7 linked regions of the Sus scrofa genome follow. The protein of the gene in region 7 interacts with the protein of the main gene of each other region in a pairwise test. Links are inferred from orthologs where the notes say so. Each region holds a gene or a part of one and is shown on either strand. Other genes may lie near its edges.

What was found.
Region 1: the proteins of DAXX (region 7) and ETS1 interact in binary tests that used the Homo sapiens proteins (3 or more experiments, as listed by UniProt). The link is inferred for Sus scrofa from reciprocal best matches to the Homo sapiens genes DAXX and ETS1.
Region 2: the proteins of DAXX (region 7) and TCF7L2 interact in binary tests that used the Homo sapiens proteins (3 or more experiments, as listed by UniProt). The link is inferred for Sus scrofa from reciprocal best matches to the Homo sapiens genes DAXX and TCF7L2.
Region 3: the proteins of DAXX (region 7) and BTBD6 interact in a two-hybrid assay, tested with the Homo sapiens proteins (2 studies listed by BioGRID and IntAct). The link is inferred for Sus scrofa from reciprocal best matches to the Homo sapiens genes DAXX and BTBD6.
Region 4: the proteins of DAXX (region 7) and PARK7 interact in binary tests that used the Homo sapiens proteins (3 or more experiments, as listed by UniProt). The link is inferred for Sus scrofa from reciprocal best matches to the Homo sapiens genes DAXX and PARK7.
Region 5: the proteins of DAXX (region 7) and FTH1 interact in binary tests that used the Homo sapiens proteins (3 or more experiments, as listed by UniProt). The link is inferred for Sus scrofa from reciprocal best matches to the Homo sapiens genes DAXX and FTH1.
Region 6: the proteins of DAXX (region 7) and GOLGA2 interact in binary tests that used the Homo sapiens proteins (3 or more experiments, as listed by UniProt). The two-hybrid records come from large-scale screens. The link is inferred for Sus scrofa from reciprocal best matches to the Homo sapiens genes DAXX and GOLGA2.

What each region holds. Positions count from the first base shown.
Region 1 is NC_010451.4:55,404,120-55,407,790, forward strand, and holds part of ETS1 (protein C-ets-1), read right to left. Parts: intron 2,548-3,671; coding exon 2,470-2,547; intron 1,296-2,469; coding exon 1,047-1,295; intron 1-1,046. UniProt on the Homo sapiens protein: Transcription factor. Directly controls the expression of cytokine and chemokine genes in a wide variety of different cellular contexts. May control the differentiation, survival and proliferation of lymphoid cells.
Region 2 is NC_010456.5:123,342,184-123,346,616, reverse strand, and holds the start of TCF7L2 (transcription factor 7-like 2), read right to left. Parts: upstream 2,922-4,433; 5' UTR 2,366-2,921; coding exon 2,177-2,365; intron 1,904-2,176; coding exon 1,837-1,903; intron 1,661-1,836; coding exon 1,536-1,660; intron 1-1,535. UniProt on the Homo sapiens protein: Participates in the Wnt signaling pathway and modulates MYC expression by binding to its promoter in a sequence-specific manner. Acts as a repressor in the absence of CTNNB1, and as activator in its presence.
Region 3 is NW_018084979.1:3,330,366-3,334,455, reverse strand, and holds BTBD6 (BTB/POZ domain-containing protein 6), read right to left. Parts: upstream 2,705-4,090; 5' UTR 2,554-2,704; exon of another isoform or gene 2,543-2,553; intron 2,255-2,542; 5' UTR 2,219-2,254; coding exon 2,136-2,218; intron 1,995-2,135; coding exon 962-1,994; 3' UTR 567-961; downstream 1-566. UniProt on the Homo sapiens protein: Adapter protein for the cul3 E3 ubiquitin-protein ligase complex. Involved in late neuronal development and muscle formation.
Region 4 is NC_010448.4:68,642,446-68,645,777, reverse strand, and holds the end of PARK7 (protein deglycase DJ-1), read right to left. Parts: intron 822-3,332; coding exon 661-821; 3' UTR 631-660; downstream 1-630. UniProt on the Homo sapiens protein: Multifunctional protein with controversial molecular function which plays an important role in cell protection against oxidative stress and cell death acting as oxidative stress sensor and redox-sensitive chaperone and protease.
Region 5 is NC_010444.4:9,533,696-9,537,859, reverse strand, and holds the start of FTH1 (ferritin heavy chain), read right to left. Parts: upstream 2,810-4,164; 5' UTR 2,520-2,809; coding exon 2,406-2,519; intron 889-2,405; coding exon 742-888; intron 428-741; coding exon 302-427; intron 204-301; coding exon 45-203; 3' UTR 1-44. UniProt on the Homo sapiens protein: Stores iron in a soluble, non-toxic, readily available form. Important for iron homeostasis. Has ferroxidase activity. Iron is taken up in the ferrous form and deposited as ferric hydroxides after oxidation. Also plays a role in delivery of iron to cells.
Region 6 is NC_010443.5:268,706,505-268,710,175, forward strand, and holds part of GOLGA2 (golgin subfamily A member 2), read right to left. Parts: coding exon 3,622-3,671; intron 3,298-3,621; coding exon 3,156-3,297; intron 1,956-3,155; coding exon 1,869-1,955; intron 1,762-1,868; coding exon 1,654-1,761; intron 1,479-1,653; coding exon 1,391-1,478; intron 692-1,390; coding exon 372-691; intron 108-371; coding exon 1-107. UniProt on the Homo sapiens protein: Peripheral membrane component of the cis-Golgi stack that acts as a membrane skeleton that maintains the structure of the Golgi apparatus, and as a vesicle thether that facilitates vesicle fusion to the Golgi membrane.
Region 7 is NC_010449.5:29,678,338-29,682,436, reverse strand, and holds the start of DAXX (death domain-associated protein 6), read left to right. Parts: upstream 1-1,291; 5' UTR 1,292-1,424; intron 1,425-1,495; exon of another isoform or gene 1,496-1,520; intron 1,521-1,956; exon of another isoform or gene 1,957-2,293; 5' UTR 2,294-2,345; coding exon 2,346-2,579; intron 2,580-2,719; coding exon 2,720-3,551; intron 3,552-3,671; coding exon 3,672-3,886; intron 3,887-4,045; coding exon 4,046-4,099. UniProt on the Homo sapiens protein: Transcription corepressor known to repress transcriptional potential of several sumoylated transcription factors. Down-regulates basal and activated transcription.

The sequences.
Region 1 (3,671 bases), on a different chromosome or scaffold from region 7:
AGGGTCACTGGTGAGCAGAAATCACCAGGAGGCTGGCCAGGCCCACTGTGGTGGCCCAAGTCCACTGGATCGGGTTTTCTCCTGTTGCTCTTCCTGTTTGTAATTCTCTCCCACTTACCCATTAGCACAGTCATCTTTTTTCAGCTTTTTAGAAATCAGCTGGTTCTTCCTGGATGAACAAGTCCCTCCTTGCAATGGGCTGGACTTTTCTCAGAAACAAACAATGCTGACACTTCACCAGGTGGGCTGGGCCTCTGAGTGTTTATGTCCTGATCTTAAAACCTGAGTGTGCTGAACTTTTTTTTGCTTTTATAAAGTCAGCCAGCCAGCTCAATTTTGAAACCTTTACTTCACTCTCAGTGAATATTTTATCGTCATCAAAACAGTCATGTCAACAGAAGTGCCCTCTTTTGGAAGCCTCTGGCCACCTCTTTCCCTGGTCCTTAGCTAAACACACACTTTTCACCACACTGCTGATGACGGGTTCCAAATAAGCCGTTGGTTAACCATCTCACATCTCCCCAAACCAAAGAAGTCACAGGAGGCTAGAGAGCCCAAGCTGAGAAGCACGGGTCATTCAGATACCAAGCCAAGATGAGCAGTCTGACCCAGGAATATTCGGGACCCAGGACAAGGAGGCAATAAAGGCTCTCTAGGAGGGTCCATCCCCTGAATCATTTTTCCGTGATTGTGTCCTCCTTAAGCAAAACCCTCTCCAAGAAAATAGAACACACCTTAAAAAACAGCCACCTTCAACTCAAGTTATTATTTGCTGACATGTTTGACCCAAATAAGAAATGTGATTGGTCATCCTGCTGGATGTCAATCCCACCATAGACCCGCCCACAGTCTTTGTCATCATGGAAGACATGCATGCCTACGATTCCATGATACCAAGTGCTGCATATCTAGACGATCTACGACAGAAAGGCTAAAAAACTCAGGCCTGCCCAGGGCTGAGAGTGAGGGGAGGGAAATATGGGGACTGGAAAAACAAATGTAGTTAGGTCACTGTTAGAAACTTCTAGAGCACAAGTCCGACCTACCACGACTGGTCCTCCCCATGCACATGTTGTCGGGGGTCACAACTTCTTGTTTGATGGCAAAGTAGTCGGTCTGCAAGGGGTCCGTCTGCAGAGGGTCCCGGAGGATGACCGGGGGGTAGTCGTTCTCATACTTGAGGGACAGGAGCTCCTCCGAGCTGATGGGATGGAGGGTCTGGTAGGACTCGGTGATGAAGCTGGGCTCGGAGAACTCCGAAGGAGGGACGCACTGGGCATGCTCAATACCATAGCCTGGGAACGGAGCATGTGCAATTAGAGAAGAGAGATGAGCCCCCAAACCAGGCAGTTCCTCCCCGTTTAGAGTGGCCCCACAGTGAGAGACGAGCTGACTACCTTAGGATTTTAAGTCAAAGGGTCTGGGCTGTTAACCTTGCTCCACTCCTTAAGAGCCATGGCCCTTAGGAGACGCTTCCCTCTTCTGACTTCATTTTTTCATCTCTAAAGTAGGGATGGTTGCACTCTTCCTCAAGCCTTGCGATGAAGCGCCAATGAGAGCATCCATGTAAAAAGGCTACCAATGTTTCTGACACACAATAAGCTCAAGATTGTCGTTAGAATACAGATCATAATAAAGTAAAAAAGAAGGAAAACAGGAGTTCCTGGCGTGGCTCGGCAGAAACGAATCTGACTAGTATCCCTGAGAATGCAGGTTCGATCCCTGGCCTTGCTCAGTGAGTTAAGGATCTGGTGTTGCTGTGGCTGTGGCGTAGCCAGCAGCTACAGCTCTGATTCAACCCCTAGCCTGGGAACCTATATATGCCGTGGGTGCGGCCCTTAAAAAGATAGAAAAAAAAAAAAAAAAAGAAAGAAAGAAAAGAAAACAAACCTGCTTAAGATGCTCTCTGAAAGCAAGGCCATTAGGCAAGCACGGCCCTCCACTAAATTTCTTCCTCCTCCAGCCACCCCTGCAGCATAGCAAGGGGTCAGGGACCAAGAGGAGGAAGCTTCTTCACATTCTGGAACAGAACCTGAGGCCGTAGGGCATCCTCTAGACAAGGGAATCTCAGAGGAGATGCTGTCACATCTCCTAGTAAAAAGGATAAAGAACAAGGTCCAAGACAAAATTCCTGACTCCAACCTCCAATGGCCACCACAGGGCACAGGATCAAACAGGATCACAGCTTGGAGGCAAGTCCTAGTCTCTCTGCATGACTTTCACGCTGAAGATACGGGCTAGACCCTGGTGCGCAGGCGCCTGCAGGTTCATGAATCGTGCCAACAGGCCGAAGCCTTGCGCTTCTCGGGAATGATGCAACAAATCACCACATCACTGCACTTAAGAAAGTCTTATTTTCTGCGGCATCACGGGAGTGAAGGTGCCTGAGATGACTCAGGACAGGGATCCTTTCCTAAGTTCCCATCCCACAGAGCAGGAAGAGGGAAGACGAGTGGCAGGTGAACTTACTAATGAAGTAATCCGAGGTATAGCGGGACTCCGGGTAGGTGGGGTTGACTCCATTAACTTGATATGGCTTCACATCCTCTGCAACAGGCAAGGGAGGAACAAGACAAAGAGGTCAGCGTGCAGGTAAAATGCCCGGCCTAAAAGGACCTGGGACACAAGGACCCCAGGGATGTCAGTTCCTCTTCTAAAAAATCTGCATGTTCACGAACGGAGCTGCTTCCTCTCTGAGTCTCCCCTGACTGAGGCCTTGTCTGGAGATGAGTTCACTAAAGGACGTGGCTGAGTTTATTATTTTAGTAGCTGCAAAATGGGATTTAAGAGCTTGGAAAGCACAAGCCTGAGTAAGCTCTAGGGGCTGGAAAGACATCTGCCCTCATGCTCGATGCACACGCGTGCCACCGGCATTCAAGGCTTGAAGACATCTTGGGAGGGACCAAAATCAGCTACCAATAATCCAAACGGATGGGTTCCAGAGCTTTTCAGAAATTCAGGACAATCTTTTTGAGGCAGGTAGATTTTGGAGCCTCCGTTTCTTCCAACAGATGTCTGGGTTTTGTTTTATGGTTTTTTCAAGTTCAGGCCCAGATAAGACACGTAACAGTGGTAAGGTGACTCTACTCATGCACAGAGAGAGCAGAGCCATATAACCAAACTCCTGTCCAGGTGCCAACTTCCCAAAGAAGGAGAAGGGAACGTAGATGAAGGGAACCAAGCAGAGGCAGTCTCTCCACTGAACTAAGCGGAGCCTGCAGGTCCTCGGAGGACCCTGGAAACTGGTGGTGGCCTCTGACCATTATCTCAAGTGGTCTGATTACATTTCACTGTAAGACTCCGACATAAAGACAGAGGCTTGGTTTGGGTTTTTCCTCGGGTATTTGATAGCTGGTTGGGAACAGAGACTGCTGGGAAAACAAGTTTATGCCTGCACAGAAAAACAGTTCCCAGCTGAGATAAAATGATTAAACTCTGCTTGAGCAGCTTATCAGATTGAAACATCCCTGTACCTTTGGCCTTAAACCCCACCCAGAACAGCTATGTTCTTTCAGTGCGGGGTTGCTGTTGTTTAATTACAGAACAAAAGCTGCAGCCTCCATACAAACATCACGTTCAGCTCTTCAAGGATCTGCAGAGCGGCTCTCAACTGTCTCTCTCCCCTGCAAACGGGTGAGATGATACAAGTTTTGTTCTCAAACCCACTCCCT
Region 2 (4,433 bases), on a different chromosome or scaffold from region 7:
GTTAATATTTTAATGCTTAAAAACACTTGTAGATCTATCTGATCGACTCCCGTCCGGCCAACTCTCGGCCATTAAGCACCGAATCCACAGCTGCTGAACAGTGAGTGCACTATTTCAAACTGCTATCTCGAGTTACCGAAAAAGAAAAAAAAAAAAAAAAAGAAAAGAAAAAAGAAATGTGTGTAAATAGAAGAGGGAAGGAGACCAACCCAGAGAACGTACAAAAATGACAAATCCGAGAAGCCGGGGCACAAACGTTTAGAGATTGTGTCTAGAGATTCATAAGCCAGGCTTTCTAGAGGCGAATGGGATAGGAGGGAGGGGGTTCAGGGCGAGGGCAGGGGGCAGAGGCCGGTCGGGGGAGGGGGTGAGCCTTATTAACAAATGTCAGGGGTGCGCGAGGGACGCAAGCTGCGGGAAGCACCCCCCGGAGCCTGGCTCCCTGCGCCGCCCTGGGGCCCCCAAAGTTGGGTGGCCCTCGATCAGCAGCCCACTCCCTTGAGCGACTGGCGCCCTCGGCCTCCCTCACCCTCTGTACACCCTTGGGCCCCGCACACCCTGGTCTCTGGCCCCCCAGGGCCCCCTGAGGGCCTTCTCGGAAGCTGGCGAGCGCAGACCCCGCTATAAACCCCAAGACACCGAAATACATCAAGTCCGCTCGGAAGAGGCCATCCCGGCTGCCAACAAACCAAGAACCGCGGCCACAGGGGCCTCTCCACCTCGCGCGGCCCGGGAGAGCCCGCAGCCAGCGCGCCGGGCAGCCGAGCCCGCCACGACGCCCAGGGCGCTCGCGGCCCTGCGGGGTTGCCCCAGAAAAGGAAGCCCAGAGCCCTCAACTCTGTAGTGGGACCAGTCTGGGAAGCGAGACCTTCCAGGGGAAAAGGGGAGGAGGGCTGAGAGCCAGCCAACGCCACCAGAAAGCTAAACAAATAACCAGCCGAAAGAGAAAGCCGAGGCGCTTCTCCAGGGCCCCGGGCTCCGCGCGCCCGCTAGTTCAACAGTCCAATGCCTGGAGGACAAGCCACCCTCACTCAGCGCAGCCCAGCCACTCGGTCCCCAGCAGCGGCAGCCAAGGGGTTAACCGGGGAAAGCCCAAGACGCCACAGAAGAGGGAAGGAAGGGAGAGAGAGGGAGAAAAGAAAGAGCCACACAGTCATCTTCCCAGGGTGAAGAAACAAACACCACCACCAAAGGGGGCGGGGGAATCAGAGCTCAAAAAAAAGTTCTTCTGATTTACCTCCCCCCCAATAAAGCCCTGCTTGGAAAGAAAAGTCTCCCCAACACCACGAAGCAACAAACTGAAAGCAAGAACATGGCGAAGTGCAAACAAATCCAGTCCACAAAAGGCAGAAAAGTTTGGAGAGTTTCGGGCTGCCAGGGCCACGAGCGGGGGAGGGGAGGCGGGGAGGGGAGGAGGCGGGGAGGGGGAGGGAGGGGAGGGGGAGGGAGGGGGCAGGGCAGGGGCCGCATGCGGGGCCAGGCGGGCGGCGAGGGCGGGCAGGCAGCGGGCGGGGGCCGGGCGCGGAGGCACTTACGGTTCGGGCGGTGGGCGAGAGCGATCCGTTGGGGAGGTAGGGGCTCGTCAGGTCGGGGATCATGATGAAGGGGTAGCCGGGATACGGTGGCCCCTTAAAGAGCCCTCCATCTTGCCTCTTGGCCGCTAACATGGCGGGACGGCGAGGGGACGGCGGCGGCCGCGCGGACCGGGAGAGAGCGAGGAGAAACTTTTTAGAAAGTGCCCCAAGTGGCCGGGCGCCCCGGCCCGGCCGGGGCACGCGGGGCGGCGGGCCCGGGGGGCAGCTCCCGGCGGCTGCGGGGCGCGCGGGACGTACTCACCTTCTTCCAAACTTTCCCGGGATTTATCTCGGAAACTTTCGGAGCGAGGCGGAGGCCGTCTTTCCGCCTTCCCGGAGGGGTGGAGGTGGGGAGGGCGAGGGGCAAACGGCACGCAGAGGGGGGAGAAGGGGGAGAAAAAGAATCAGTGGGGTGGGGGTTTGGGGGGAGAGAAAAACAGGGTTACAACTTTTTGCAATGGTGGCACCACACGCACACGCCGCCCGCCCGGCCCCGCGGCGCCCTACCGCCGCCCCCAGCCCCGATTTCTCCCCTGTAAGCAACCTTTGCCAAGCCCAGGAAATAGATTCAGAACCCCACCAGCCCGAGGGGCTTTTCCTACCTCGGAATCGGAGGAGCTGTTTTGATTCGTTTCTGATTCATTGACTAGAGACGATTTGACATCAGCTAAATCCCTCTCTGCCGAGGAGTTTTCGGAGCTCTTCTCCTCCTGCTCGCCCTCGTCTTTGAAGGAAATCAGTTCGTCGTTGGCGCCTAGGTCATCTCCTCCACCGCCGTTCAGCTGCGGCATTTTTTTCACCCACCAGCAGCAATTTTGGAAGAAAAATGAAGGAGGAAGAAAAGCCAAAAAAAAAAAAAAAACCCAAAAAGTTTTACCCCCCCAAAAAAAATATTGCAAGAAAAAGACGAGTCCAAGGTGAACTTTTTTTCTGCTTTGGGGTCTTTTTCTCCTGGGGAGGGGAAAGAGGGAGGAGGGGAGGGGAAGGGGGGGGAGATCTTCTGCACGCGTGAGTTTGGGTTTCTTTTTTCTCTCGTTCCCAAGGATCCGATCAATGTGCAAAAAAATAATAAATAAAAAAAGGGGGGTAAAAAAAAAAACACCACCAACAACAACAAGAAGTCAGATATAAAGAGCAAAGGGGGGGGAAGCCGAAGATACAGGAGGAGCTCGTGCCGCTCGGATTTGAGTGAGTTGAAGTTAGACTGAGAGCTTTTCAGTTCAAAGGCGGCGCTGATTGACAGATAGAAAAAGGGGGATCGAAATCCGGAGGAACGGAGTAGTCTGGGAGCGGAGATTATTGACAGGGCGAGAGGAACACACTCGCTTAATGAGATGCCGAGGGGCGGGGCCGGCCGGGTGACGTCTGCATAAATAAACAGCCGGAGTGGGCGGGGCGGGGGCGGCTAACAATGATCCTTTCGGGCGCCGGGAGAGGGAGGAGGGAGAGGAGGAGGAGGAGAGGGGCGGGGGAGGAGAGGGGCAGAGAGACAGAGGGAGGAGTGTGCAGGGGGAGAGGCCTGCGCTGAGAGTGTGCGAGCCCGGGAGTCTGGGCGAGGGAACGGGGACTCGCTCCGGGAGGGGGCCGGCTTCAGAAAGACAATGCGGGGTAGGAGAGGAGGGGAAGAGGGTGGCGACCGAGTCAGGAATCCGAGCCGGGAAAGGCGGAAGGAAAGCCCACTTGGGGGGCGGGGATGGGGAGAGGCCCAGAAAAAGTGCACTTTGGAAACATTAGAAATAAGTCTTAAGGAAGGGGAAAAGGAGGAGAGTGTTGTGGGGAATGGGTGGGAGGGTGGGGTGCTTGGTGGTTTAGCCAGCAGTGAAATCAGCCACCCTCGGGCGGGATGTAACAGAAGTGGTCGAAAAAGAGAGATCAACCCTCCACTTTCAGAGAGCCTGGGGAAGTGGAGGGCTGGGCAAAGTTCCTGGTCATCTGCAGTGAAAGAAACTATTAACCCACGAGGTCTTCCCTCCCCTTTTTGTTTATTAATAGTGAATCATTTCATTAAATCTTGTCTCACTAGACTAAATATGCCAAAATGACTTTTTATCCAAAAAAAAAAAAAAAATTCCAACACTGTGGTGTTTGTCAGGGGCATTAAAAATATCCTTAAGGAAAAATGCATGATTCATTTCAATGTAGTGTTGTGGCTTTTTGTTTGTTTGTTTGTTTTAACTGAGTTGGAGGTGGTAGGAAATGAGTTAGGATTCAAAGTCCTTTCTGGCTTTGGAAGTGAAAAGTTTGGGCGTTAACATCACCAGGGAAAATAAAACTGAAAGTTCACCAACCTCTGGGATCAGTGGTGCTGGAGTCTTTCTGGAAGGGGGTCTGAAATGAAATTCCCGAAAGACTGACCAAATAATCAAGATGTAGATGGCTCTGGCAGGAAATTGCTAACCCAGCTGATGCTTGAAGGCCTCAGGGAGGAGATGGAAAACCTGAGGTTTGAGGCAGGTATTTGTTGATTTTTAGGCTCTCTTGGGGAAGTAGATTGATTCACTACAAATGGGAAAGAAAATTATGTTAAAGGGGAAAAGGCCTGGGTCCCAAAACGCAGTATTCCTGGAAAATGGAGCAAGAACACTGATTTTCTTGCAAATATCCAATGAGAAGTGGACAGGAATCTACCATATGAAAGAGACAAAAAGAACCAGAAAAAAAGAAATCAAAAGAAATCAGCAAATTGTCTGTGAGGAACAGTGTTGGTCTAGGGTCCATGATGTACTAAATTATTTCACCCAACCCTATAAAAAAAAAAATCTCACCCGCTTTTCAGCTGGCCATCTGTACTTCAGCTTTCCAAAAGAAAGCAAATTTACCATACAATATTTAGAGAGTTTGGGTTTTCAGCAAAACTGT
Region 3 (4,090 bases), on a different chromosome or scaffold from region 7:
GAGCTGGGTCTGCCCGGAGGGGCTGCTCCCTCCCCCGCCTGTTGTCTAGAAGCCTGTCTCTGCACGTCAAGGAGGCAGGACGTGGGGCCCGGGTGCAGTCCCAGAACACCCACGGCACTGGGTGATGCGAGAAGACACAGCCAGCAGGAGAGCGGCAGGGAGACACTGGCTGGGGTGGTCTGCTCCCGAGGGGCTACAGCCCCGCGCTGAGGGCCACAGGGCCTCCCTCTGGGGCACACGCTGAGGCTCCCCCAAAACAGCCACTGCTGAGGCGTTTGCAGTGAAGGACGGGCAGCACGCCCACGCAGGAGCCAGTGAGCCCGAGCTGGGTTTGTTCCCAGGGGCTGGGGCCCCCCTGGCAGAGAACCCCCACCCCCACCCCCACCCCCACAGGAGGACTTCAAGTGGCTAGTGATAGTTTAGGACGCGTTCGCAGGCGTTCGCGAACAGGTGGGCCTCTGGGGACTCCCCGCTAAGCGCCGTCAGGGCCGAGGTGTCCTCTGTGCATGTCAGTCCTGGGAGACGGCGGGCGCCCCGCTTCGAGACTCACGGTCGTTAGCTGCGTGTGCCTCTCGTTTTGTTAAAACTTTATTATGAAAATCCACTTAAATAGCTGACGTACTTTAAGTGATGTTTCCATTTTGGATTTGAAGAGAGGATCAGAAGCCTAGAACCACCTAGAGGAGAATCCAAGAGGCTGGGAGGGGTGGCAGAGCCCTCAAAACAGGCGCCACTGGGAGGGAACTGGGCCTGCCTCGTGCCCCCCAAACCTGCCCTCCACCTGAGACGTGCACCCCAGCGTACAGGAGATGCCAGCGGGCCCAGTGGCCAGAATCCAGAGACCCAGGCTCCGGCCGTGTAGGAGCGGGTCTGTGTCACGCCTTCGGCCACAGCCGCTCCCGAGAGGCCGGGGCGCGGGGCCGTCAGGCATCGGCGAGGCGGCCGCAAGCGGCGCGGCGCCTCAGGCGTAGAAGATGAGCTCGGGGATCTGCCCGCCCTGCACCCCCGTGCCGTTGGTGCTGTCCGAGGAGCACTGGAACTGGAAGGCCACCTTCCCGCACTGCACCTCCGTCATGCCCTCCTGCCCGAAGTAGCTGAGCTCGCTGCCGTCCAGGACGGCGCTGGCCGTGTAGAAGGTGTCCTGCTCCACCTGCACGGGGTGCTCGAACCAGACGGGGAAGGTGCTGCTGGAGCCGTCGGAGACGAACTTGGTCAGGTTCTGCGCCAGGACCACCCCCAGGCGCTTGAGCTCGATCTTCACGCTGTACTCGGCCTTCCCCGAGCTGGAGCCGTACAGGCCCAGCCCCGCGATGAACACCCTCCTGTCCACGGCAAACTGGATGCTGTCGCAGCGCCCCCGGTAGCGCCACTGGTTGCTGCGGTAGGCGGAGGACTGGAAGCGGTGGCACCTCTGGGGGGCCAGGCCTTTCCTCTTGGTCAGGGGGAACTCGAGGAGGGGCTTGTTGGCCGCCGTGTACCACAGGAAGATGTTGTGGGTCTCCTCCAGCGTCAGGATGTCCGACTGGGCGGCGCCGTTGGCGAACTCCTCCAGGGTCATGGTCGGGATCCGCACCAGGTACAGCGCCGGCCCCAGGACGTGCCTCTTGTTGCGGGGGGTGGCGGGCAGGCCCTGCCTCTTGCACTCGGCCTCGGCCCAGCTCAGCACCGCCTCGAAGACCACGGCCTCCTTGGCGTTGAGCGCCTCCCGCATCACGATGATCTCCAGCGTTTGCCAGTCGATTTCGCAGAAGCCCTCCGACCTGAGCGCCATCTCGGCCTGCGCGTCGATGACCTCCCAGCAGCGCTGGGTCAGCTCGGGCTCCTCGAACAGCCGGCTCTGGGACAGCAGGACGCAGGCGTTTTTGGCTTCCAGGCTCGTCTCCAGAAAGTTGACACAGGCCTTGGCTAGCGCGGGGACAATGTACTTCTTGGCGGCGTAGAGAGTGGCCAGCACCGTGTCGGCTTCCAGGTCGATCTCGTCACTGTACATGTACCTAGGCAGGAGGCGGCGCCAGGTCACAGGCTGCGAGGGACACGCCGCCCGGCAACCGGGTCTGGGAGAGGAGCCCCCCGCCCCCCCGCCCGCCCCCGGCCTCGTGGACCTCAGGCCTCCCCCTCTAGCTGAGCCGGCTTACTTCAGCAGGATCAGAAAGGCCGCGGGCTCCACGTCAGGGATGTGGATCTCGGACTTGACTTCGGCCAGGTCCCCGTAAAACATGGCATAGAAGACAGAGCTCCCCACGGCCAGCACGTACTGTGGACGAGAGAGCGCGCCCTGAGCCCGGGGCCCTGCGCGCCCCCGGCGGCTGCCACGCCCGGGCTAGAGGACCGGCCGCCTCTGGGAGCTCAAAGGGCCGAGCCTCTACCAACCTTGTGGGCAGGCACCCTGCGGGCCGCGCCCGGGGGCCCCACGACGAAGTGCACGTCGGCCATGAGCTCGTTGTTGAACATCAGCGCGTTCCTGCAAAGGGCAGAGGCACACGGCTCGGGGCTGGGGGCGCGGCGCGGGGCGGGGGCGCGGGCAGGGCCGGGGCGGGGCGGGCGCGGCCTCACCTCTCGCGCAGGGTCGGATGGAAGGACTGCCAGTTCGGGCTCTCCAAGTTGTTGTTGTCCGGCGCGGGCGGCTCGGGCGCAGGCGGAGGCGGGGCGGGCAGGGGGGCGCTGGGCCGGCCCTTCCTGCCCGCGGCGGCGGCGGCGGCGGCGTTGCTGTTGGCGATGTCCGTGGCGGTGGCGGTGGCGGCCGCGGCGCCGGCGGGCGCGTAGAGCTCCGCGGCCATCTTCGCGGGCAGGGCGGCCTCCGCGCGCGGGGGCCGCGCGCCGTGCACCCTCGCGACGCGGCGGGGCCTGGGTGGCGGCTCTGCGAGCACCAGGAGCGCGGTGAGGCACTGCGCCACCCGGCCGTGCAGGCAGGCCAGGGGCAGCAGCATGGGGCCGCGGCGGCCGGGGGCGCGCGGTGGCGGCCTGCCGGGGGCGGCGGGCGCGGCTCCCTCGGGCCGCCCCGCCCGCCGGCCTGAGCCTCCAGCTCGCCCGCACCCGCACCACCGCGCCGCCCGCGCGTCACGGCCCGGCCCCGCCCCGCGCGGCCGACGTGCGCGCCTGTCGCCCCGCCCCGCGCGGCCGGCGTGCGCGCGCGCGGCCCCGCTCCCAGGCCCGGCCCCGCCCCGCCGGCGGAGTTGCGGGGGGCGCGGAGCCGGCAGCCCGCGCGGGCGCCGAGCGGGTTGGTGGGGGGGCTGTTCGGGGCGGGGGCGGGGCCGGGGGCGGGGGCGCGGTCAGGGGAGGGGTCCCTGGGCCTGACCCACCCTGGGCCGCTCGCTCCCGGAACCGGTCCGATGCTGTCTCACTGATGGTCAGGGGTGTGGATCCGAGTCAGGTGTTTGTGGGTCATTTTTATGTCCCTGGAGAAATGTCTCGTCAACCACTTTGCCCACGTTTGAATCGGCTTTTGTCCTTATCGAGATTTAGGCGTTCTCTGCGTTTTCGGGAGGTTAAGGTCTTACCAGGTGTATGATTTGCAAATACATTCTCTCATTTTGTTAGTTGCATCTTCTACTATATTGGTTGTTTCCTTTGCTTCACAGGTTTTAACTTTGACATAGTCCCGTTTGCCTATTTTTTTTTCTTTTTCCTCTTTGGGGCCACACGTGTGGCATTTGAAAGTTCCCAGGCTAGGAGTGGAACCTGAGCCACAGCTGCCCGCCTGCACCACAGCTACAGCAAAGGGGATTGGAGCTGCGTCTGCCACCTACACCACAGCTCACGGCAACACGGGATCCCTAACCCACTGAGCAAGACCAGGCATCGAACCCGCATCCTCGTGGGTATCAGCTGGATTCATTTCCGCTGAGCCAGGGCAGGAAGGCCTGTGCTAGCTTTTGTTGTCTGTGCTCTTGGTGTCCCATTCAGGGAATCACGGCACATTCCAAGGTCACGCTGTAGCCCTTCGTTTCTTTCAGGGCTTGACCGCTTCCCGTCCCGTGGTTAGGTCTTTAATTCATTGGGAGTTAGTGTGTGTGTGTGGCATGTGAGATGAGGATCGGTCTTGTTTCTCTGGCACGTGGGTGTCCAGTGTTCCCAGCACCATTTGTCGAGG
Region 4 (3,332 bases), on a different chromosome or scaffold from region 7:
CCAGCTTTCCCGCTGCTCCTCCTGAGCACCCAGACCAGAGGAGCCCAGCAGCACCAGCTGAGACCCTTGCTGGGTGTCTCACCTGGGCCACGGAGTCAGTTATGTGGGGCTCTGGGGCTGGGAAGCCTGTGGGCTCGCAGGGTAAGCAAGCGGGTGCGGTGGCGCGAGCGGGGGAGCAGGCCAGACCAACCCTGCAGGGTTTTCATTGCCTCCGGGGACTTCTGCCGCAGTGGGAAAGCAGCATCAGTGCGCCGGAATTCACCGTAACCGCCAGCTTTGCTGGGGTTTTAATAGCACATTAGAGAGACAGGTAACGGATGGGGGGAGGCCTCAAGCCTCTTAAATGTTTGCTTTATGCTTTTCCTCCGTGCTTGCGGGTCACTTATTTCAGGGGCTGTTATCAACAGATAAGAGCTGCACATGAAACTGATGATTTAGTTTCACACAAGAACATGGAAACTGGAGGTAAAAGCAGGAGCAGCCAGTAGTTTGCTAAATGCCCTATTTATTCGGGAAGCAGGGTCTGAAATGTGGGGACACGACTGTGGGGAGAGCATCTGCAGCTGTCAGGTCACAAGCTCGCCTGGGGGGCAGGCACAGAGCCACCCTCTGGGTTTAAAGCGCCCTCGGCGGGAGGGGTTCCGGGCAGCCCGCTCGGCTCTAGTCTCTCAGAACAAGCGGGGCCTTCACTTGGTCGGCCACCTCCTTGCCGGCCAGGGCCTCAACAATGGCCAGAGCAAACTCGAAGCTGGTTCCGGGCCCCCGGCTGGTGAGGATCAGACCGTCCTTTTCCACGCGATTCTCTGAGTAGCTGTAATGACCTTCGAAACAAAGACAAGACAGGGTCACGTCCTCACGGGCTACTGGCACAGCCGCGCACCCCACGGAGCCGTTTCCGCCGCCCCAGCGTGCTACTGTCCCTCGGAAACTGACAGACGAGCGGAGCCCCCACGGCAAGGCCCTGGCCAGCCGATCCCAGATGACTCAGGCACTCCAAGCTCGTCAGGGCACACAGGACAGCATCAGAGCAGCTGTGCCCGCTTAAGAGTGGGGGACACCGACAACCACTGAAATGACACGTGCGCGCGCGCGCGCACACACACACGAGCCCGATGCCGCTACGCCGGCCCTTGAGTGAGGGGAGGTCTGGGAATGCCCATCACACACGTTTTCCTTCTGTGACAAGTGCAGGCGTCAGATCCGGGTGAAGGGCAGAGAAGGTGCCACCCCCAAACGCGCCACCTGGATGTGCTCATAAATTTGAGCGCGAGGCACCTGAACTACAGCATGGGCAGGGAGAGGCAACCTCTGAACCCCCTTCTCTGCCTGAAGACAGGTCACCCCCCACCCCCGTCCCCAGGGCTCCCTCTCCCACCTGGAGCCCCGTTACCAGCACATAGGCTCCCTCCCGCCCAGGAAGAGCACCAGCGCTGCTCCCTCCGCCCAGCTGGCTCTCTGGGTTTCAGCATCAGCACCGAGCCCCAGACAAGGTGTGTGTGAACCCCGGGTCATCGGGGTCCTCCCTCTGTAAACGAGTCCCTCCTGCTCACTGTCTAGTCTCTAAGACGCGGAGCCTTCACCTCCCCTGTCTGGCCTAGAGTGTTAGTGGCACCAAGGAGGCCCCCCAGGCACCAGGAAGGAATGCCCCTCCATATCCCCTCAGTGTCCAGCGCCCCCTTCTGGCTGCTCTCCGCCCCCCTCCCCCAGCTCAGCAGCACCAAAAAAGGCACCCCTTCCCAAGTGCACAGCAGGGCAGATCCAGTTCTGTCCCCATGAGACACCTTCACTAACCTCCTGCAGCACCTGGAGAGGACCCTCACCCCTCGGCACGACACGCAGCCCTTGGGCCTGGCCTGGGCACAGACTGGGCCAGAGGGAAACGGAAAAGAACCCGCGTCCCGAGGGGCGAAGGGTGACCTGGATGGGGCGGTGGCCACCAACAGCAAGGTCTCAACATGGGCAGGCATTGAGGGTGGCTGCCAGCCCTCTGTCCCAGGGTCACTCAGTGATGTGGGACACGAAGGACAGAGGCAGGGCGGGGGTCAAAAGCCCGCAAGGGTCCCCTGCGACATCCTGCCACATCCCGGCCCTGCAGGCAGAGGCAGGCACGCAGCGCACACGCCACCCCTGACCACCTCCCCCGCCCCACCCAGTGCAGCGCACCCCCCATCTGAGGACACGGCTTTATCTTGTTGCTCTTCCTGCTCCCACAGTCTAAGGAAGAGCTCACAGAAAAGCTATCTCCCAAGCAGGACACGTCTGCGGCACTAGTGACCTTCAGAAACCGCGTGCTGATGCTCGGTCCTTCCAGGGTGGATTCACAGTGTGCAACTTAGGACTCCGGCCTCCCGGGAAGCACATTCCCCACCACGGTAACTGACTACAGCACAGGAACACCTCCCAGCTACGCTCTCATAGAAAGCAAGAGGACCCTGGTCAGAGGACAGAAGGTTTTCACAATCTAACCGCATTTACTGATGGTTAAACCAGGCCAAGATCATCTGAAATGCTGAACTAGAAAACCAGCTGGGCTGGGCCTCCCCGAGCTGAGCGGGCAGCCCAGACCAGGCGGCGGGAGGCACGACTCTGAACGTCCACTTACCACCTCTCTGTGGGTAAGATCTTAGAAAGACGGCTTCAACTGGTTAAAGACTGTGAACACTTCCCCGGTGCCCGGGAGGTTCAACCCGCAAGAGCGGGGTCTACTTGCCGCCCGCCTCCCCCTAGTGGCCGCGGGGAAGAACAACACCTGCAGTGCACCAGCAAGGGCACCTGCCAGTCATCTTTTCAACTTGAAGCCAACACCACAAAGCAAAGCAGCTCAAAGCCCAGAGCTGCAGTGCGTGGCGGGGGGCTGCTTCCACCTGCCTGCCGGCCCCTCACCTATGTGGTTTGTGAGCCACAGCGGCGTAAAGGCCCAGAGCCCAGAATATCAACTACCTGCCTTTCTCAAGGAAAAGCCACGGCACCCTGAATACAGGCAGCTCTGGGCTCAAATCCCAGGCCTGCCACTTAGAAGCCTCCTGGCCATCCCCCCGAGCCTCCCTCTTCTCTTCTGTAAAACGGGGATGATGCCAACCTAAGAGGACTGTGGTGGGAAGCCAACCAAACACCAGTACCAAGCGGGGGTGTCCCTCCTACAGCCTGGCCGGTGCCAGCAGCTGGGCAGCCCAGCACCAGGCACTCACCAGCGGGCCCTTCTCCAGCACAGGCTGCACAATGGGTGACATTCTCGGTGCGTTAACACCTGTTGACCCATGAAGCCTGCCAACGCCCCTGTGAGGGGGCTACTGTCACCCTCAGGTAACAGATGAGGAAACTGAGGCCCAGGG
Region 5 (4,164 bases), on a different chromosome or scaffold from region 7:
GACCAGGGGGGTCACCCCGTGTCTCCGGGAGGCCAGCTTAGGGCTTAGCTCTCACTGCTCCCCAGGGTGTGCTTGTCAAAGAGATACTCGGCCATGCCATACTCGGGGGCCCCCATCCTGTGCAAGTTGGTAATGTGGTCACCCAATTCTTTGATGGCTTTCACCTGCTCATCCAGGTAATGCGTCTCAATGAAGTCACACAACTGGAAAAGACAACGGGGAAGAGAGTTACTGGCGAGCCTTCCCAGGCCCCGAGGTAAATGACTTCCTCCTCCTCCTCCCAGGTTGCCTCAATACTCACGTGGGGGTCATTTTTGTCAGTGGCCAGTTTGTGCAGTTCCAGCAGGGACTGATTCACGTTTTTTTCCAAGTGCAGCGCACATTCCATGGCAGTCAGCCCATTCTCCCAGTCATCGCGCTCCGGTTTCTGAACGAGAAGGAGCCAAGTCAATGCACCTGCAGCCTCTACCTTTAAACCCAAGTCAGCAAGCACCTAACGTGTAAGCACTGTGCTTGGCGAAAGGAATATCCAAGCTTCCCCGACAACAGTTTCTATTTTACTATCCTTGCCCGTTACCATCTGCCCACTTTAGACGATAGGCCCACAACAGCACAAAAGCCACAAGCCACAAGCCCAACGTATCTGCGTCTTGATAAGAGCAACTGCTCAGGTCTGTGCCTTCTGCCACCTGAGGAGCGCCAGACACATCAGGCACGACAACCCTGGAATCTTTTGTTCACCTTGATATCCTGAAGGAAGATTCGGCCACCTCGTTGGTTCTGCAGCTTCATCAGTTTCTCAGCATGTTCCCTCTCCTCATGAGATTGATGAAGAAAGTATTTGGCAAAGTTCTTCAAAGCCACATCATCGCGGTCAAAATAGTATGACTGAAAAGTGAAAACAGGAGTCTGTGAGCCTAGGCTTCCTTTCTCAAAGCCCAGCAAGAAGGGGTCTGGGTCTAAGGAGATCAGAGCAGGCTGCGTTGCTGCATCGAACTAAACAGTCATTAGTTCTCACTCCTAAGGGCAAAAATGAAAAATGTTCACAAGGAGCATTTAGAATATCACAGGACTTGCCACCACCATGGAACATCCTCAGGATCTGTGTTAGAGCAAAGTTCTTTTTTCTTTTTTGGCCGCCTCTGGTCTGAGGAAGTTCCCGGGCCAGAGATCAGATGGGAGCCACAGCTGTGACCCTCATGAGAGTTGTGGCAGTGCTGGATCCCTAAAACCACTGTGCCAGGCCAGGGATGGAACCTAAGTCCCAACGCTCCAGACACACCGCCAACCCCATCGCGCCACAGCAGGAACTCCAAAGTTAAATTCTTACAGCCAGTGTCACATCTGGTCGAAGAGAGGAAAGTGGAGTATTTACTCCGCACTATTAGTGCTTCCTCCTTCTCCCTCCTTGATTAATCCATGTTAAAACATGAACTTGCCAGCTTACAGCCAGACCGATGCATTTCTAAAAGTACCCCACTAGGGAAGTAGACGGCTGTGGGCAACAATGTATATAAAGGCATAACAGTAGAAAGCAAAACTGGGTTCTTTTAGACCCTTGCTGGGTGTTCCTGAAATGGAAGGGCAGTCATAGAAATCCAGGCCAGTTCCAAACCCATCTGGTACCTGCCTATTCTTGGATGGTTTACGTAATGGTCAGACAATTCTACAACTCCTACCACACCGCCTAAAACCAGGAATTTGGAAAACTGACCCCTCTATGGAAAAAATGCCGGCCCTGTAACTGTGGATGGACTTTATCCAAGAACGAAGGGTTCGATTAGGCCCCAACCTTTAGACAAAAAGAATAAAGGAGGAGGTAGTCAGGCGCAAGGACGGGTGACTAAGACAACTGTGGCGGAAGGAGAGATTTCTAGAGATGTGCTTCAATTCAAGTGGGACTTGGCGATAAGCAGAGCAAACGGGTGGAGACGGCTGTTCGGGTGGTCAGCCCACTGGAGATAAAGCACTTCACACCAGCCCCCAGGGCTGCTATTCGACACCATTACCCAGCAGGCTCCGCCGTATTCTGGGGGATGGGAGCAGGACCTCTTCGCCTCCGCCCAGGATCACGTGATCGGATGCAGAGGACGGAATGGAAATGCGAAAATCCACCTTCCTAACTGCAGGATGGTACTGGCAGCAAGCGCGGCAAGGAAAAAAAAGGGGGAGGGGGGAGGGGGGTGGGCGGGCAGAGGCAGTCGGCCTACAAAGGGGCACTCCCAGGGGTCAGTCGGAAAGGGCCGACTCCTCGGAATTTCTGCGAAGTCCTGGGGGACCCGGAGCAGCCTCCATTTTCCAGAACCGCGCAGAGGCGGGAGGCGGGAGGCCCCGCCCGCTAGCCACACCCCGCCCCGCCGCCTCCGAGGCCGAGCCCGCCCCCCGCCGGCCAAGCCTGCGCTTACCATGGACAGGTAGACGTAGGAGGCATAGAGCTCCAGGTTGATCTGGCGGTTGATGGCCGCCTCCGAGTCCTGGTGGTAGTTCTGGCGCACCTGCGAGGAGCACGAGGTCGTCATGGCGGGAGGCTGAGGAGCGGTGGTGGCGGCAGCGGCGCGGGAGCGGTGGCGGTGGCCTTGGGGCGGTCCGAGGGCGCTGTGAAGAGGTGGCGAGGGCTGGCTCTGAGCGGCCGGCCGGGGCGGGTGACGAGCGCCGGGTTCCGTCCAAGCACTGTTGAAGCAGGAAACCGCAGCGACTCTCCGCGAAGACTGTGGCGCAGGTAGCGCTGGCCCGGCTCTTATATCGGCATCGGCCGTCCGCCCCGCCGCGGCCAATCACGCCGCCTGCCCGCCGCGCGGAGCCCCGCCCCTTCCGGTGGGTGCGGGCGGGGGTGGGGGGAGGCGCACTGGGATGGTGGGGGAGGGGAGGGAAGGGGTGGGGTGGCGAAGCCTGGGAGTCTTGGAACCCCGTCCCGCGCAGACGCCTTGAGGTGCGTTTCGTGGGATGAGAGAGACGACCTGAGCAAGGGCAGGAAGTCCAGCTCGGGGCTGTGACTCTATGACTCTCGGGGCTCTGACAGCCTGGGTTTTGCAACCGACGGGAAACCTTCCCTGGGGCGTCGAGGCTCTTGCAAGAGCCCAAGCGGGCACCCCGAGACTTATGGCCAAGGTCATGTTAAAAATCAGAGCGGTAGAGCTGCAGTTGCCACACTCCGAGGTGCCTGGTAATGCAAATAGGGAACCCGGAGAGTGAACGTGGGCCCGGAGTGAGGCAGAGGTCGGGCGGGGAAAGGGCCCTCTTTCAATTCCTCAAAACCTAGGAAGGGGCCCAAAGCAGGTGGGGTCGGGCCTCCTCCAGCTCTGGTGGCCCGGTCCGGCTTTGGCCGAAAGTGTACGTGGCTCCTCGTGCAGTTGCTACAACAAAGGCTGGGCGGGTCGTGTTTCCCCGAAAGACTGCCTTCCCGAGGGAGTCGTGAGCCACCAGGGTTCTGAGAAAATCGGCCGGTAGCTTACAACTCAGAGACCAAGGGGGTTAGAAAAGGAGGAAAGAAGCTGCTTGAATCTGAAAAGGATGCTGTGAGGCCATTTTGAAATGGCCGATCAAGCCCCAGGAGCTTCAGGCTCAGGCGGTTCTACAGGGAGCCACCCCCTGGGTTGTCCTTGGAGAGAAGCTGAAGGCGCGGAACATGAAGGACAGATGCCAGAGAACGTGGAGTGGCTGGGGCACTGTGTGTGGCTTGCAGCAGTGTCCCTGGCACTGAGTGGGTGCGAATTCGTGGGTGGCAGAACTGGAGCTAGGCAGACCCAATCTGCTGCCCCCAGGGTCCACGATTCTTAATCAGGCCCTTCAACACGTGGGTAGGGGACCTACCCAAGACCCTTTTCAGGATATTCACAAATGTCCAACTGTAAGCTGTACTTCTAAAAGCTTTACAACAAAAAATTAAAGGAACTTTACTAAAATAGGAAAACAAGTTGCTGGTGGAATTACAGCGATTTCTCTTGGGTCTTTATTCATTTCAAATGTACATATGTTACTTAAGGAAAAAAAATTTTAATGGGGCTAGGGCTGCAGACAAGAAATTAAGAAGGATGATGGGTGAATACCAAGGGTGCCTTACCCAGTCTGGGATAGGAGTTCAAGGAAGGCTGCCCTAAAGAGAGTGACATTTGAGGAGTTCCCGTTTTGGTGCAATGGCTAACGAATCCGACTAGGAACCATGAG
Region 6 (3,671 bases), on a different chromosome or scaffold from region 7:
TTCAGCTCTCCCAGGTTCTCCTGCAGCTGGCCCAGCTTCTTGGCCAGCTCCTTCTTGACATGCTGCTCCGAATGCAGCGCGCTGGTAATCTCCATGTTCTCGTTGGACTGCACAGAGAGGAGCAATCAACTAAGCTGGAGCCCGGCTCAGGGACCAGCGGCAGCAGGCGGGTAAGCCCTGCCCCTCCCCAGCCCCCTCTGCGCAGGGCCCTCTGGCTCACAGGTGGCCTTCGTGGGCCCCATTTCACTCAAGGGCCATACCACCCATTTCACAGGTGGGGAAACAAAGACCCAGAAGGATGAAAGGTCTCGCCCCCGCCCCAAAGGACCTGGCCAGGGAGGGGGACCGGCGGGCTGGGGAGGGCTGCTCACCAGCCTGACGAATCCGTTCTGCAGCTCAGCCAGCTGCTCCTTGAGTTTGCGGTTCTGCGTGAGCGCGCGGCTGATGGTGGTGCGGTCGCTCTGCATGCTCTCCAGCATCTGCTTGCGCTCCTCCGCCTGCTCCCCCCAGCACTCGGCCGCCCGCTCCAGCTCCATCAGCCGCTGCTCCTGCTCCTGATTCAGGAGGCTCAGGTTTTCATTGTCTTTCACCTGCGCCTGTAGCTGCCTGGCCAGGCTCTCCACTTCCTTCTGTAACTGCTCAGCCTCTGCCTGCAGCCGCTGTTCAGTCTCCGAGGGCCCTGATGGGGGCGCTTGGGGTGGGGGCACAAATAAGAAAGGGAGCCTGCTGTCAGGGCCTCTAGGCTCTGCCATCTCCAAAAAATCCTCTTCTTGGTCCACAGCTGCTAACTCAGCTTCTTCACCACCAAACCTTGGCTTCCTCGTTCAATCTTTCAAGACTCTTTTTTTGTTGCTGCTTTTCAGCCACACCTGTGACATGCGGGAAGTTCTCAGGCCAGTGACTGAACCCACGCCACAGCAGTGACAACGCCAGATCCTTAGCCTGCTGTGCCACTGGGAAACTCCTCGAGACACTTTCAGACAGAGTTCTTTACATCTTTATACTCAAGACAACCTCGGGAGCTCCCGCTGTGGCACAAAGGGATCGGCGGCATCTTGGGAGTACTGGGATGCAGGTTCAACACCTGGCCCGGCACAGTGGGTTAGGATCCAGCGCCTGTGGATCTGATCCCTGGCCCAGGAACTCCATGTGCCGCAAGGGGTGGCCAAAAAAAAAAAAAAAAAAAAAAAAGACAACTTCGGGGTGAGTGACAGTGGGCTCTCGACCCCTTTCGTACAGATGGGAACACGGAGGCTCAGGGACTGCCACCTCCTGGTACGGACCCCTTTCCCTTGACCCCAGTGCCCTTCCTGCCACACGCCTCCATTCTGAGCCACCTTGGCCGGCCCTGAGCCCACCCTGCTCCCTGACGCCCCCGGCCCCCGCTCACCTGCCTGGTTCCTCAGTTCGGCCAAGCTGGTCTCCAGCTCCTGCACCTGACTCATGCTGTGCTCTTTTTCTGCCCTCAGCTTGTTCAGCTGCCCAAGCACAGGGGGGAGGCCACATGGAAGGAAGGGGAGAGGGTGAAGGAGTGACCTGGTGACCCGCGCCCTCTTCACCTCCAAACACATACTTCCACCTCCAGCTGCGCGTGGCAAGCGACAGGAAGATCAAGGGACCGAAGGGGGGTGGGGGCCGTAGGTCACGACTCACCTGCTCATTCATCTGCTGCATCTTATGCTGCCAAACAGTGCTGTCTTCTTTCAGATTCGCCACATACTGGTCTCTCTCTGCCTGCAGCTGCCTCAGCGAGTCCTGCAGCTGCAAGAGTGCGTGCAGAAGTGAGCAGGGGCTGTCACTGGGCCTCCCCTGTTCCTGGTCCCTCACCGTCAGCCTCCCTCCGGATGCCTCCCCCTGCAGAGCCTCACCTGCCCCACACAGGTCTCCAGCTGTGCCCGCTCCTCCAGGGCCTGCTGCAACTGCTGGCTGCTGTCAGGGGTAGGCTGAGTAGAAAACTGGTGAAAAAGGAGGCGGTGAGACCCGGGGGGCCCAGGCTGCTCCAGGCAAAGCCCCCCGCCCCGAAAGGTCGGCGTACAACTCAGGGTTGTCCTCATGTTATCTGTACCACAGGCAAAGGCTTTATCTTCACTAAATGTTCATGCGCAACGATTCAAATATAAGTGTTCGAGGTCCTCCCAACCCTTCCTCTAGCTCCCCAGTCACCCCAGTCCGTGTGTATTCTTCTAGACCCTTCCCACACACATGCAAACACGTTTAATTAATGCACACTGCAGTTGTGCTGTCGTTGAGTGGTATCGAACATGGTTCTGCAACTTCACTTCACTTTGCTGCAAAGTGAAGACGCACTGGGTTGCTGGCGTGGTTCCATCGCGGTCACTGTGTGCACACGGCACACCCCCAGCTCACCCTTACTGACGGCATGAAGGCAGACAGTTGCCGGGTGGGCAGAAAAACTGAAGGGGAGGTTCTCTGACTTCAGGCACCCTGTCTACCTGGTGGCTTTTGACCCCAAGAGGGAGGAAACAGACTCACGAGTTGGCCTTATAACCACCATTCACAAAACAACGGTTTTCGACCAGGGTGTTTTAAAAAATAAACACAGGAGTTCCATGTGGCGAAGCTGGTTAAGGATCCGTCATTGCTGTGATGCGGGTTTGATCCCTGGCCTGGGAACTTCCACATGCCACGGGCTTGGCCGAAAAACAATAACAATAACAACAAAAACCCCACCCCGGAGTTCCTGTCGTGGCACAGCTGAAATGAATCCGGCTAGGAACCATGAGGTTGCGGGTTCAATCCCCGGCCTCGCTCAGCGGGTGAAAGATCTGGCATTGCCGTGAGCTGTGGTATAGGTCGCAGACGGCTCGGATCTTGTGTTGCTATGGCTCTGATGTAGGCCGGTGGCAACAGCTCCGATTAGACCCGTACCCTGGAAACCTCCATATGCCACAGTTCAGCCCTAAAAGACAAAAAACAAAAAACAAAAAACAAAAAAGCAAACCCATCCCTGAGATTATGATTCCGGAGGTCTGGGCAAGGCCTTAATTTTTCTCCCACCTCTGGAGGATTCCATGGCAGGACCAGAACAAGGATCCAAGTCTTCTAGTTCCTGGCCAAGGCCACCCTAGGTATCCCTGAGACCCTGGCCTGCTGCGGGGGGCAGAGGGGCACCCTCCCTGGGGCTCCAGCTCCACCTGCTGCAGCAGCAGCTCCGACATCTCCAGCTTCTTCTGAAGTTCCTCCATCCCCAGCTGCATGGCTGCCTTCTCTGTCGCCATGAGCCGCAGCTTCTCCTCCAGCTCCGACTTCTGCTGCTTTAGGTCCTCATTGCTTTTGCTGCGCTCGGAGGCAGGGGAGGGAGGCGTGAGTGAAAAGCAAAGGACCGCTCTGGTGATCAACCCACCACCCTCGGCACAGGACCACAGGACAGTCGCTTTGGAAGGGACCCCGGGATCAGGAGTCACAAGCGGCAGGCCAGAGACAGGACACGAGTTGCCTGAGGCCGCAGCATGAGTTGGCGGCACAGCTGGCATGAGAGCCTAGTTCTGCTCTCGTCGAAACCTCTCCCGCCTCCTCACCCCGCTCACTGGGATGCCCCCCCAACTTGGCAGCCCCACACCAGCCAAGGCCCCCCACCCCGCCCCGTCCTCCCCATCCTACTTGTTCTTGTATAATTCCAGCTTGAGGGTGTCTCGCTCTTTGGTTAATTC
Region 7 (4,099 bases):
GGGATTGAACCTCATGGGGACTAGTGGGGTCTGTTAACCACTGAGCCACTACGGAAACTCTTCTGCTATATTTTAATAAAATTTATCTTTAAATGTGCAACAAGAAAATAAAGTGGCAAGATGCCCAACATTTGTGGAGTATGCAGGGATCCAAGAGGTGGGAAACTCAGCGACTGGACCGGTGTTAACTTTTTGGTTTCCCCAGAAGTTCACCTTTGGACCCAGCTTTGCTTCCGTGAGTCCCTCCAGCTTCCCTAAAGCTGGGCTAGGTGGGGGTCCAGGCGAGGCGGGCGTCAAAGTTGGTTTCTTCTCTTTTTGTTCTTTCATCAGCACTTCCAGAAGAAAAGACGAGACTCCGAGGCCTTTTACGAGCCTCATTTCGTCTCACAGTCCATACAGCGGCAATCTGCAGATTCTCCTCAGAGCCTCCTCCTCCTCACAACGCCCGTCCTCAGGCCCTGGAGCTTCTGGACAAAGCCCGGCCTCCCGGCCATCATCGCCTCCGCCTCGGGGACCTCCTCCAGAAAAGACGTCGTAGAACCACCTAGATTCTACCTACTTGGTTGGCCAATAGTTCTGTAGTGGAAAGCAAACCAGCAACAATAACAATAATAATAAAACACATTTGTACAGCTCGTGGTGCTCATTTGTATCCCGTGTTAGGACTTCGCAATTGGGCGAAGTAGGCACCTGTCGGTAGAAGTAGCAGCTGGACAGCGAAAAGGAGAGCGGGCCCATAGAAGGGAATGGCAGGTACAGTCGATTAAGCCAGGGAAACTGGTACCTGGCAGGTAGGAAATCGGCGCCAGAGGGCTTGTCAATAGCGCCGCGGATGGAAAAGGTTTTATTTTCCTCTCAAGAGGCTCCCCCCATTCCGTGCATCCCTGTGCAGCCTCGGAGGGCTCAATTCCTTTGCTGCTCTGTTCCGTACCCCCCCCCCCCCCCTTGGGAAGGTGGCTCTGTCCTCCCCGCACGCGACGCGCTGGCGGTTGGCCGGCTGCGGGAAGCTTCTGATTGGCCGAGTCGCAGAAGCACCGGGTGAAAAGAGCTTCACTGGCGGCGCGCCCCCACTCGGGGCGTAGCCAACGCCGTACGGGAAAATGGCGGCCCGCATGTACCTTGAGAGGCCCCGAATGGGGGATGGAGGGGCGCAAATCCGCCCCCTGCAGGTCAGGGAGAAAGGCGCCTCAGACTATGTGGGCGGCACTGGAGGTGCTCGAGGAGGCGGGCCTACTGTCACTTCCGGCCACTGGGGAGACTGGGATCCGTACGGCAACATGGCCGCACCCAGGAGCCTGTAGGCGGAAACTCCGCCGCTTCCGGTCCGGAGTAGGGCCTGCGGTGGGAGGGGGAAGGAAGGCGGAGGGAACCATGCGAGGTTCTGAGATCCGCGGCGAGTGTCGCCTCGAGAGACCGTTTCTGAGGTGGGGCCGGGCGGTGCGGGGGGCGAAGGCGGGGCGGGAATGTCGAGGTCGAGGTACTCGGGAGTCCTGGGCGTTGAGTCTGAGGGGCAGGCTGAGGTACCTTCCTTACTATCCCTGAAGGGGTGTGGGGGGGCCGGGGGCTGAACTGGGGGAGGGGGACTTGGCGGGAAGCTCCTCCGGGGGCAGGGCCGGCCTCAGGACTAGAGTGTGAGAGCAAGCAGGAGAGACCAGTGTGGGGCCCACGGTCGCTTACAGGTCACACGGAGAGAATGGGGAGGCTCGGGTTGGTGTGAGAGAGAGGGGACTGGAGCCGAGCTATCTCCGACTGCCGCCCCGGCTGGAGGAGACCCACCGGAGGGCGGGGTAGGGAGGTGGTCTTGGCAGGAGAAAGGGGAGTGGATGTGGGGAGGACCAACCCTCGCCTCGGAGAGGCTGGGAGTTGGGGTGATCCTACAGGACGGGGCGAACCTGTGGGAGAGCGGAAGGGGGACACGGGGAGGTGGTGCCAACGAGGGTGTGGTATCTGTTCCAGGGGGTGTCGAGGAAATCTGGAGTGCAGTGTGAGAGGTGGTCCGGGGTTGAGAAGAATCAACTTGCCACCTATGAGAAATAGTGGGGAAATGCAACCGAAAGACCGGATGTCGACGTGAGGGGTGGAGCTGGGGGTGGGACTTCAGGTTTTCCGAGGGTTTGGGGCTCTCGTAGTAAAGGGACAGAAAAACACGGTACTAATGGTTGCTGAAGACAGGCAGTGAGGACACTGTTGGGCATGGCTGGGTGTTTTTGAAAACCAAGAAGACAAAAATGTGTGAGATGAAGGGATGGGGCTCTGCTGGAGGGGCTCTTTCTGAGGCCCCGTCCCCTTCCAGCAGGAATCACGAAAACCCCACCACTTCCTCCCTCCGGGGGATTTGATCCCCCATGGCCACCGCTAACAGCATCATCGTGCTGGATGATGATGACGAAGATGAAGCAGCTGCTCAGCCAGGGCCCTCCCACCCACCCCCCAACCCAGCCTCACCCAGGGCAGCCCCCATTCCAGCCTCACCCAGGGCAGAAGCCCCTGGCTCCTCCCAGCCCCATGGGGCTGGAGGAGGCAGTAGTTCGGGCGGCAAGAAATGCTACAAGTTGGAGAATGAGAAGCTGTTTAAAGAGGTGAGCTTTAGGGGAGAGGATTCTTGTACTCCAGGGAGGGGGCTGGCCGACTGGCTCTCTTGTCTTGTCTTCCCCACTAACCCCACCTCGCCTTCTTTCTCTCAACCCATCCCTTGTCCCTTTCCCCGTGAACCTTCCAGTTCCTTGAACTGTGTAGGAGGCAGACAGCAGACCACCCTGAGGTGGTCCCGTTCCTCTCTAGCCGGCAGCAGCGGGCCCACTCACTGTTTTTGGCCTCGGCGGAGTTCCACAACATCCTCTCTCGGGTCCTTTCCCGGGCTCAGAGCCGGCCCGCCAAGCTCTATGTCTACATTAACGAGCTCTGCACTGTTCTCAAGGCCAACTCGGCCAAGAAGAAGATGAACCTGGCCCCTGCTGCCACCACCTCTAGTGAGCCCTCCGGGAATGACCCCCCCACAGGCCCCTCCTCGGACCCCATAAATGCTGAGACCACTGCCTCTGAGGCCCCAAGGACCCGTGGTTCCCGGCGGCAGATCCAGCGCTTGGAGCAGCTTCTTGCGCTCTATGTGGCAGAGATCCGGCGGCTGCAGGAAAAGGAGCTGGATCTCTCAGAACTGGACGACCCGGACTCCACTTACCTGCAGGAGGCCAGACTGAAGCGTAAGCTGATCCGCCTCTTTGGGCGGCTGTGTGAGCTCAAAGAATGCTCTTCTCTGACGGGCCGGGTCATAGAGCAGCGCATCCCCTACCGGGGCACCCGCTACCCGGAGGTGAACAGGCGCATCGAGCGGCTCATCAACAAGCCAGGGCCTGATACCTTCCCTGACTATGGAGACGTACTTCGGGCTGTCGAGAAGGCAGCTGCTCGGCACAGCCTTGGCCTCCCCCGACAGCAGCTCCAGCTCATGGCTCAGGATGCCTTCCGAGATGTGGGCATCAGGTTGCAGGAACGTCGCCACCTCGATCTCATCTACAACTTCGGCTGTCACCTCACAGACGACTACAGGCCAGGTAGGCCTTAGCAGGGTCTCCCCAGTCCCTTGGTGTGTTGGCCTATGCTGGAGGAAGCTCTCTGGAGTCCCTCCTTCTAGGATTCTGGGTGAGTGCTCTGACCTATGTCTTCCCATGCAGGTGTCGATCCTGCCCTGTCAGATCCTGTCCTAGCCCGGCGCCTGCGGGAGAACCGGAGCTTGGCTATGAGCCGACTGGATGAGGTCATCTCCAAATATGCAATGATGCAAGACAAGAGTGAGGAGGGCGAGAGACAGAAGAGAAGGGCTCGGCTCCCCCAGGCCACCTCTGCCCACTCTGCAGAACCCCCCAAAGCCTCCTTGGATTCTGGCGAGGTATGGAAGGGCCACACCCTTGAGAGAGACCCTGTCCTTCCCCTGCACTGGCCAGGAGGGAGTCCTTGGGACTGATGGCGGAGTGTGCAGAAGGGATGCAAGAACCAGTCCCTCAAGGGGGCAAGGGATTCCTTAGAGAAACTCCTTTGTCCCCCGAAGGGCCCTAGTGGGATGGCCTCCCAGGAGTGCTCGACCACTTCCAAGGCTGAGACA